Linked DNA regions of Cricetulus griseus. The protein of the gene in region 1 interacts with the protein of each later gene in a pairwise test. Links are inferred from orthologs where the notes say so. Each region holds a gene or a part of one and is shown on either strand. Other genes may lie near its edges. The genes, in order: Cibar1 and Cby1.

Region 1 (4,508 bases):
TAGAGATTAAGACTTGAAATTTCAAGATGATACCCTATGACATTTTTATAAAGGGTAATCATCTGGATATTGCTAATACTCAGAATCTACACTCAAACATTAAAAATGTAAAACACACAGCAACAGCCTCAATCACAAGCACCTGGAACACAGCCTGACAGGAATGTGCCTGGCACTTCAAAGCGCTCATCCTTGAACAAGCACAGTGTTTACCTTACAGCTGCAGCTTCTAGGACGTTTTTAAGGCATCTATAGTTTTAGGACAGCTACCATTTTCATCATGTGTTCAAGCAGATACTGTCAGATATTACAGATACCCGTCTCCTAATTCCTATAGCTCAACTTTTCAGAAAGCCTGAATCTGAAAGATACAGTGTTACTAGGAACATTAAAGACTCTCAAAAGCAAACAGCTTAGGGATTATTGTATGAGCTGCATTTTTTTTAGACAGCCATTTGACTTATCAAAGTCTAGAGAACAAGATAAGTGGGATTAGATTAGCACTGCTGATCTGCCAAACTGTACAGCTGATCTCTTTTTATCTAGAATTAAACACTTTCTCATACTCACTTAAATTTTTATCAAAAAATAATAGTAACTCTCTTACTAACACTAGTCAAAGAAACCGAAGAAGTATCTTTTCTACAAATACACAGGCAAGAAAATGATGGGGTACTGCAACTTTGTCAGGGTGGGCAAGTAGATGGCATCTGTTGCTTAAGACAAACATTTTTTACAGCAAATAAAATGCTTTTCAAAAATGATACATGTTTATCTAATCAATGCCTTTCCATTTCATACCCAATCAATGAAATTTTATTTCATATTTATGCTTTATTTTCTGGAAGTGATGCTATATAGATGTTTCATTTTAGAAGGTTTTAGGAAGTATAAAATGTAAAAAATAAGTTCCCATCAGTAATTTACATATTCAGAATTCTAAAATCAGAGTTCTGAATACTCAGGACAGTTTACACCATTGTCAATAACGTACACGGAGAGGATTATTCAAGCCTGTTCTAGAGGCTTCCATTTCTTTCCCTTGCCTACCTTTGTCATGTTCATTAGCATCTCCACCATTTGGTAAGCAGGGAAACAGAGCAGAGCAAATGCAAATCAATTCACTTTGCTATTTGATAAGTAGCATAAAATTTTTCAAGAAAGGGGAAACTACTGCAAACAGGGACTTTAGGATTATCTGTGCATTAAAAAATACTTTTAAAATACTAAATCTTCAGTTACCATGTATAATTGAGTATTGCTTGTTATAGAAGAAATGTATGCCAAGAAAACATTTTCCTTACAGTATCCCAGAGTGATCAGTACTCAAATTTTGTATGCATAATGATAAGTTCAAAAAATTTTTGGTAACTGAAATGTAAACAAGGAAAAGAACAATGGCACTTGTTTAAAAAGTAAAAGAGCAATGAAGTTTAAACTAGGCAACTTTTATAAGTTAACTAGCATTTAAAAGAAGGATGTGAAAGTGCTTATGTGGGTTTTTGTTGTTATTGTTTTTTAAGAAAGAACCCACAAGAGCAAGACTCTGGTCACTCAAAGCAACCACACAGCCAACCTTTCCGATACATCACTTGGTTTGCTTCTGTTTATAAATCACAGCTTTCTGACCGTTCAACTTTCAAACCAAGGGAATATCAGCACTATGCTGACCATTTATTGGGAATTTGTTCATTTTGTCATTTTCAGCATTTCCATCTCTAGCTGTCCTTTAAAGCGCACTTGATGTACCCAGGATATGCAGGTGCTTTCCTTCTTATAAGTGCTGTATCTGACACCTTTTCTGGACACTTGCACCCTGTAACCAGAGTTGGCAAATGAACCGGGAAATTTAAGACTCAAACACACCCAAAGTTTAGTTTGAAAGCTGTGAATTCATAGAAAGTTTCCCTATAGCGGACTCACAGACAGGAAATGCTCCATCAAGTGTGCATTCGCCGGGTTAAGATAAGTTACAATGGAAAAATCTCCACAAATCCTACACACTACTTCTTGTGTTTATAATAATGCCACCATGACCGAATTTCATACCTCTGCTTGGCGGTAATCTTGAAGTTTGGCAAACTCGTCAGCAAAGCTTTTCAGACCCTGCTTTAAATTTGGGGTCTCGGTAGAGGCATACAAGTTGATTTCATTCACCAGGAGATCGGCTTTGTCTCTCAGTCTGGCAGTTTTCCGTACATAAGCAGCAAAGATTTGGCAAAGCTCTCCAAAATGCTTCTCCACATTGGTGACAGCAGACTGCAGTTGTTTTGTTTGAGCATCTCTAGAAAAAGGAGACACTGTTTTAAAAATTAAGATGGTGTCCCGTTAATTTTATATGCAAACACTCCCGGGGCATCCCGAAGCCCAACCTCCCCAACTGTCCCGGGGGCCGTCCTATTCTGGGACCCCATTCAGTATCTGGTCCTACCCTAAGACCATGCAGGCCCGGGATTAGGCCCCGGCCGGGCCCGCAGAAGAGGCGGCAGCTGTGAGCCCTGGCCGGGGCCCAGCGGCCTCCCGGGTTCTCTACCTCGGCAGGGCCTGGCCAAGCTCAGTGGGATGGGTCGGCTGGGAGACTCTCTCGGCCTGGTACTAGCTGAAGCCTGGGGGACGGGGTGCAGAGCGCTCCGGGGACCCTGCGGCCTCCTCCCACCCCGGCCGGCTTCGAGCCCTGGGCCCGGCTCCCCTCGCCCACCCGATCCTCTCCCCCGGGCGGTTTGCAGGACCAGGCCCCTGCAGGACGAGGTCCCGAGCAGTTACCGGTCTTCCAGGTTGCGTCTCAACATGTTGCCTTGCTCCCCGCCGGAGACCCGGGGTGGGAGCCCAACGAGCGCGGCTCTGGGGCGCCACGGCGCGCGGGAACAGGAGCCACCGCCACTTCTACCGGGAGGCGAGAGCGCGCCATGCGCGCCCCCGCGCCTGCCCGGCGTTTCCGTGGCAACGCGGCGCGCGCCCCTGTGGTCAAGAGCAGGGCAAGAGAAACCAGAGGGCATTGGGTTGAGGGACCACAGAGCATCCTCCTTCAGTGCTGCTCTCAAGCTCTCCTGAGCCTCTGGAAGCAAAGGAGAAAAACAACCCACCAGTAACCGGAAGGAGCACGAGAAAGTAAAGGTGAATGGGGTCCGGGCTCTGCTTCTGGCAGTGAGGACTTAATGCCATGTGCCCACGCTTCTTTGTTGAATGTGTCATGCTGGCTCTCAGAAGCTGCCTTTGGAAAAGAGCAGCTGAATCAGTTAAATTTCTATTGCTGTGATAAGATCATGACGAGAAACAAGTTGGGGAGGAAAGGGTTTCTATGGCTGACATATCCCAAGTCACAGTTTATTTGGGAACTCAAAGCCGGAACCTGGAGGCAGGCACTGAAGCAGAGGACATGGAAGAAAACTGCTTGCTGGCTTGTTCAGTTGGTTTTCTTATATACCCTGGGACCTCCTGAGCAGGAGTGGCACTGTTCACAGTGGGCTGGGCCCTTCCACATTAATCATCAATCAAGGAAACCACCTTACAAATTTGTCTACAGGCAATCTAATGGGGGCATTTTCTGAATCTAGGTTCCCTCTTCTCAGATAACTCAAGCTTGTGTCAAATTGACCAAAAAAAAAAAAAAAAAAAAAAAAAAAAAAAAAAAAAAAAAAGAATTTAGATAGCACAAAAAACAGTGCTTACTGCCTCATCTTTCAATTCACCCCTCCCCCTGCAGATGATGTTAGATCTAGGGAATAAGTCAAAGAAAGAAGCCATGGAGTGGGCCTGGATGAAAGTCTCCACTTTGAAGACACACGGATAACCCAGAGCTTTTCCTTTAACTTCTGAACACCTATGGCCTAGACTTGTGTGTGTTGGGGGCGGGGTGAGAAAGGGGAGGGGAGAGAAAGACAGAGACAGTGAGACAGAGAGAAACTTCTCTTTCAAATGAACTCAGTTTCCAAATCAAGCTTTATCTGCTTCACTGGGCTTCTCCCATACTTGACTAGTACAGTCCTGATTTTGTGTTGTCTCCTTGAAGCAGAGAAAATGTGATTTTTGTCTTGTGCTCATCAGTGCCTTCTACAAGTTTGTGAAGGGTTATCTTGCACAAATGGATGTCCCAGTCTTATGTAACTTTTGCTTTAAATTCCCCTATTTTTTCATGTTGTAATTTCTATTTCAGAGCCCGACATGTTATTACTTCTGTTTTAGAACTCCTTGCTCTCTCATGTTGTAAACTCATCTCTTCTCCATTGTATTTATTGCAGAAGCCATCTGTCAAATGCCCATAGTCTCTGAGAATGGAGTCCTAACCAAAGGTCAGAAGAGTCTTTGCTCTTGTGTATTGTGACTCACTTCTTCATATGTTACATGCCTTTTTAATTCAACCTTATCACCTCCTCCCATCATCATTTACTGTCCTCCTCAAGACCACTGTTATGTTGAAGTACAGCAAAATACATGCACTTCAGATCATGACAACTTTTCAAAGCTTTCACTGTTCTTATAATCAGATTTGAAATCCGAATTCTATTAAG
Region 2 (4,269 bases), about 250 Mb from region 1:
CCTGCTTCTGTTTCCTGATTGCTGAGATTAAAGGTGTAAATCACTACACTCAGCTTGAGTTTGATCTTTAAACGTGACTGAAATTAATTCTTGGACAAGTTTTGAAACTAAAATGTAAGTCAGACTGTATATCATCACCTGGGACCAAAACCAGAATGAGGCTTAGCTATCTTAGTTGGTTCTCTTTTCTTTTTTGAGACAGGGTTTCTCTGTGTAACCCTGGCTGTCCTGGACCTCACTTTGTAGAGCAGGCTGGCCTTGAACTCACAGAGATCCACCTACCTCTGCCTCCTGACTGCTGGGATTAAAGGCATGTGCCATCCTGCCTGGCTATTAGTGGGTTCTTGAATAAACTCTGACAGTAATTCCCACACAGGAAGTCAAAGTTGACTAATGATATAAACTGAAAGGGTGCCCTCCCACAGTGTGTCTCTCCACCCAGACACCACTTGTGGCACCCCAATCTCCACTCACAGAATGCAGATTGGAGAGAGAGGCAGACTTCCGAGGAGGGGTCTTCTTTGGACTGAATATACTCCCAAAGAGAGGCATTCCTGACTCGAGGAAACTCCAGCACTTCCTTCTCCTAGGGTCAAACAGATCAGAGACTTTATTTCATTGTTGTCAAAACATAAAAACATTTTAGCCATTGACAATTACCAATCCTGGCAATATCTACTGGCAAGAGTTGTCCTTTTAGATAGAACAGCAAAGGGAGGCCTGAGGTCCTACAAGTCCTGGTAGGAGCTCCCAGGCTTTGGATGCTTTGTATGCACCAGCCACTATGCTAATGCCATTGCATGATCTCCTTTAACTCACAATTAACCCTTGACAAGCCCCTCCTAGTCACCCCATTTGGTTGGTGACATCTAGAAAGCTAAGGTCTTCAGTGGCAATGGGCATTTGAACCAAAGTATGTTATGTTATGTTCACAGTTATGTTAAAAGCCTGGCCCAGGTTGGCCTCACCAGTATTACAGTGTGGCCCAAAGAATGAGATTTCTGTCCCCAGAAGCCAGTAAGAGCTGCGCTAGGAACACTAACTTCTGCATATCCGCAGAAGATAGTTACAATCTGGGTATTTCATTCCCAGAATGACAGTGGTGCTTATCACTTGGTCCATGTGTCAAGTCACCTGTCCTGTTATGAGAGGTAAGGTTTCTCAAGAAAAGGAGAGAGCTGGAACATAGTGGAGCTGACCATGACACTGTCACCAATACACCAGCTTTAGTCACAACCTCTTGCAATGCTCATAAAATCACTAACATCATTCAAGTTTGGGAAAGAGGTCAACTTTTCTGTTGTTGTTTTTCGAGACAGGGTTTCTCTTGTGTAGCCCTGGCTGTCCTGGAACTAGCTCTGTAGACCAAGCTGGCCTCGAACCCAGAGATCTGCCTGCTTCTGCCTCCCGAGTGCTGGGTTTAAAGGCATGCGTAACCAACCCACGGCACATCTTTTTAATTTAAGTATAACTAATAAAGAGAAGTTTTAAAACCTCAAGGTTTCATGGCAGTTTTTAAAATGTATGTGTTTATGTGCTGTATGCATGTGTACATGTAGAGGTGTGTGTGTGTGTGTGTGTGTGTGTGTGTGTGTGTGTGTGTAGGTACAGAGTCCAGAAGAGGACACCAGGTCTGGTGCCCTATCACTTTCTGTCATATGCCCTTTAGACAGGGACTCTCACTGAACCTGGAGCTAGACTGATGGCTAGCAAGTCCAAGCAGTCCTTTTTCTGTCCCCAACAATGCTGGAATTACAGACGTTAAAGTCCACATCAGGCATTTTACTGGGGTGTTGGGGACTTGAATTCGGGTCCTCATACTTGTACAGCAAGCACTTGTATTCACTGAGCCTTTTCCCCAGTCCTCTTCACAAATTTATTTATTTTTTGGCCCTTCACAAATTAACACACACACACACACACACACACACACACACACACACTTCTAGATCAAGGCATAGACCATCACAGCACCCTGCATGACTCTCTGGATGACTTTATAATCAACTGGCTGAGATCCTAGGGTTTTTTTGTTTTGTTTTGTTTTTCAAGACAGGGTTTTTCTATGTAGTCCTGGCTATCCTAGAACTCACTCTGTAGACCAGGCTGGCCTCGAACTCATAGAGATATGCCTGCCTTGATTAAATACCTTTAATCCTAGGGTTCTTTAGTGAAGCTTTCTCATAGGCAGGGCTCAGGATCAAGAAAGTTAAGGGGCCATTCCTGGTTTCCAACCAACACCAATCTGAGCATTTTATACCAAGGGCCTCAAACGCTTTATCTGTCGTTATTGTTTCTCTGTGTATGGGTGTTTTGTCTGCATGTAAGTCCTGCGTACCACGTGCCTTGGGTCCTCAGATTCCTGGAACTGGAGTTACTGGCTGTTATGAGCTGCGAATGGAATCCGGATTCTCTGCAACAGCAACTAGTACTCTTAGACGAGGAGCCATCTCTCTAGCCCTCGAGTCCCTTATTTATAACCAGGAATAATAACAGCACCCAGCTTGGAGAAGTGCTTTCGTGTTTACAAGTTGTTGGCACATTTGATGCTCACCATAACCCTGGGAAGCAGATCAAGCTGTGCCCCTCTCAGGGAACTGTACTTACTGTGCGAAGCTTTAGTTCCCATCAGGCTATAAAATGCATTATCTGAATTCATCTCGACAAGAAGGTAAAGGAAGCACCTTCGGTTTTCACTCGATTCTCAAAGGAAAAAAGTGTTTCGAAAGACCTAAGGGCCAACTTTAACTCTGCAGGCGCACGGACACAGAACCATAAGAGTTCAGTACCGGTTTAAGACACCCTTCAAGTGATGGGTCAAAACACCGTCCCGAGTCACCGAGGCAAGACGCGCCCGCGGAGCATACCACCACCCGGCCTGCCCACCACCCTCTCCAGTGGTACCAGGGTGTCCCACCCACCTCCCACCCACCATGGCTAGCCCGAGACTTCGAATGCCGCTCCCAGACGTACCTGGTGCGTCTGCGAAGTGGGAGTCCAGAGCTATCCCCAAGCCTTCTGCAAGCAAGGATCCGCCCACACCGCGTCAACCGCCGCGACTGCGATTGGCGGGCGCCGGGCTCCCACCGCGCGTGTGCGCCGCGGCTATGGCCTTTACCACTAAGGACGGAGGGGGTGTCACCTCCCAGATGAGCCTACGCGGAGCCGCTGGGCCCCCGCGGGTCCCCTCCGGTTCACCGAGAGAGGAAGGCCTTGGGAAAGTCTTCTGGAGTTCCTCACGTGCTAAGCGGCATAGGCAAGGCGAGGAGTGGGCCCCTAAACACGTTGGTCTGGCCCCCGGGTGGCGGCGCCGTCGCCATGGTAACCGCGGGTGGCGGCCTCAGCGCCGGCTCAGGGCTGCATTGTTATGGGAAGGGAATGTGTTAGTGACCTGGGCTGGACTCACAGTAGCAAAATGGCCGGGTCTCCGGCTCCCCCGCCCTGGCCACAAAACAAAGCGCTCCCATTCCCTGTGATTTGGGGGCCGCGGGTGCCGGCAGCCATCCAGAGCTTGGTCGGGTCACCGGAGGGACCCGTGGTGGAACCGGCCCTGAGGCTTTGGGATTCCGTCGAAGCTTTCAGGTAAGACAGGACGACACCTTGCCAGCAGCAAACCGGCTCCTGCCAGGCTTGCCGCAGCCTCATGACTGTGAGCAAGGGAAACAGGTCCAGGAAGGTCGGTCGCCCAATGAACAAGGGGCGGAGAACTGGAGAATCCCCTCCAGAATTCCTCAATTCCTAACGGCGTGTACTATGTTCTGTTTGGTAAATGAAGAAATGGGCCACCCAAGAGATGTTTTCTAGCGGCCTAGCACTAGGTATCATTCCAGCTGTAAGGGACAGGACCAGGCGGTCTGTGGGCAGTTTTCCTCCACCTTTGCCACACTGCATTAGAAGAGAGAGTTTCACGTTCAAAACTAGCCATATCTAGCCTAGCACTTAATGTTACAACAGAAACATAAAGCAGACCACACTTGTAATTTGCAGCCTTTTGTTGTTAAACCCTGAGCCTTGTGCACGCGGATCCCACGCTTTACCGATGAGCTATGCCCAAAGCACCTTCGGGGTTTTTTGTTTTGTTTTGAGATATGGTCTCACTGGGTAGCCCAGGCTGCCCTGATTTCTCAACTCATCCTGCCTTGGCCTCTCAGTGCTGGGAGTACACACATACACCAAACCCCTACGCTTTTTTCCTTTTTAACACTTGGGATTTGACCCTGGGTCTCACTATGTAGTTCTGGCTGGTCTCCAAATCCTCCTGTCTCTGTC

What was found.
Region 2: the proteins of Cibar1 (region 1) and Cby1 interact in binary tests that used the Homo sapiens proteins (3 or more experiments, as listed by UniProt). The two-hybrid records come from large-scale screens. The link is inferred for Cricetulus griseus from reciprocal best matches to the Homo sapiens genes CIBAR1 and CBY1.

The regions. Positions count from the first base shown.
Region 1 is NC_048595.1:126,381,235-126,385,742, forward strand, and holds the start of Cibar1 (protein FAM92A), read right to left. Parts: upstream 3,039-4,508; 5' UTR 2,997-3,038; coding exon 2,764-2,996; intron 2,285-2,763; coding exon 2,050-2,284; intron 1-2,049. UniProt on the Homo sapiens protein: Plays a critical role in regulating mitochondrial ultrastructure and function by maintaining the integrity of mitochondrial morphology, particularly the organization of cristae.
Region 2 is NC_048595.1:376,827,594-376,831,862, reverse strand, and holds the start of Cby1 (protein chibby homolog 1), read right to left. Parts: upstream 3,074-4,269; 5' UTR 2,974-3,073; intron 587-2,973; 5' UTR 553-586; coding exon 475-552; intron 1-474. UniProt on the Homo sapiens protein: Inhibits the Wnt/Wingless pathway by binding to CTNNB1/beta-catenin and inhibiting beta-catenin-mediated transcriptional activation through competition with TCF/LEF transcription factors.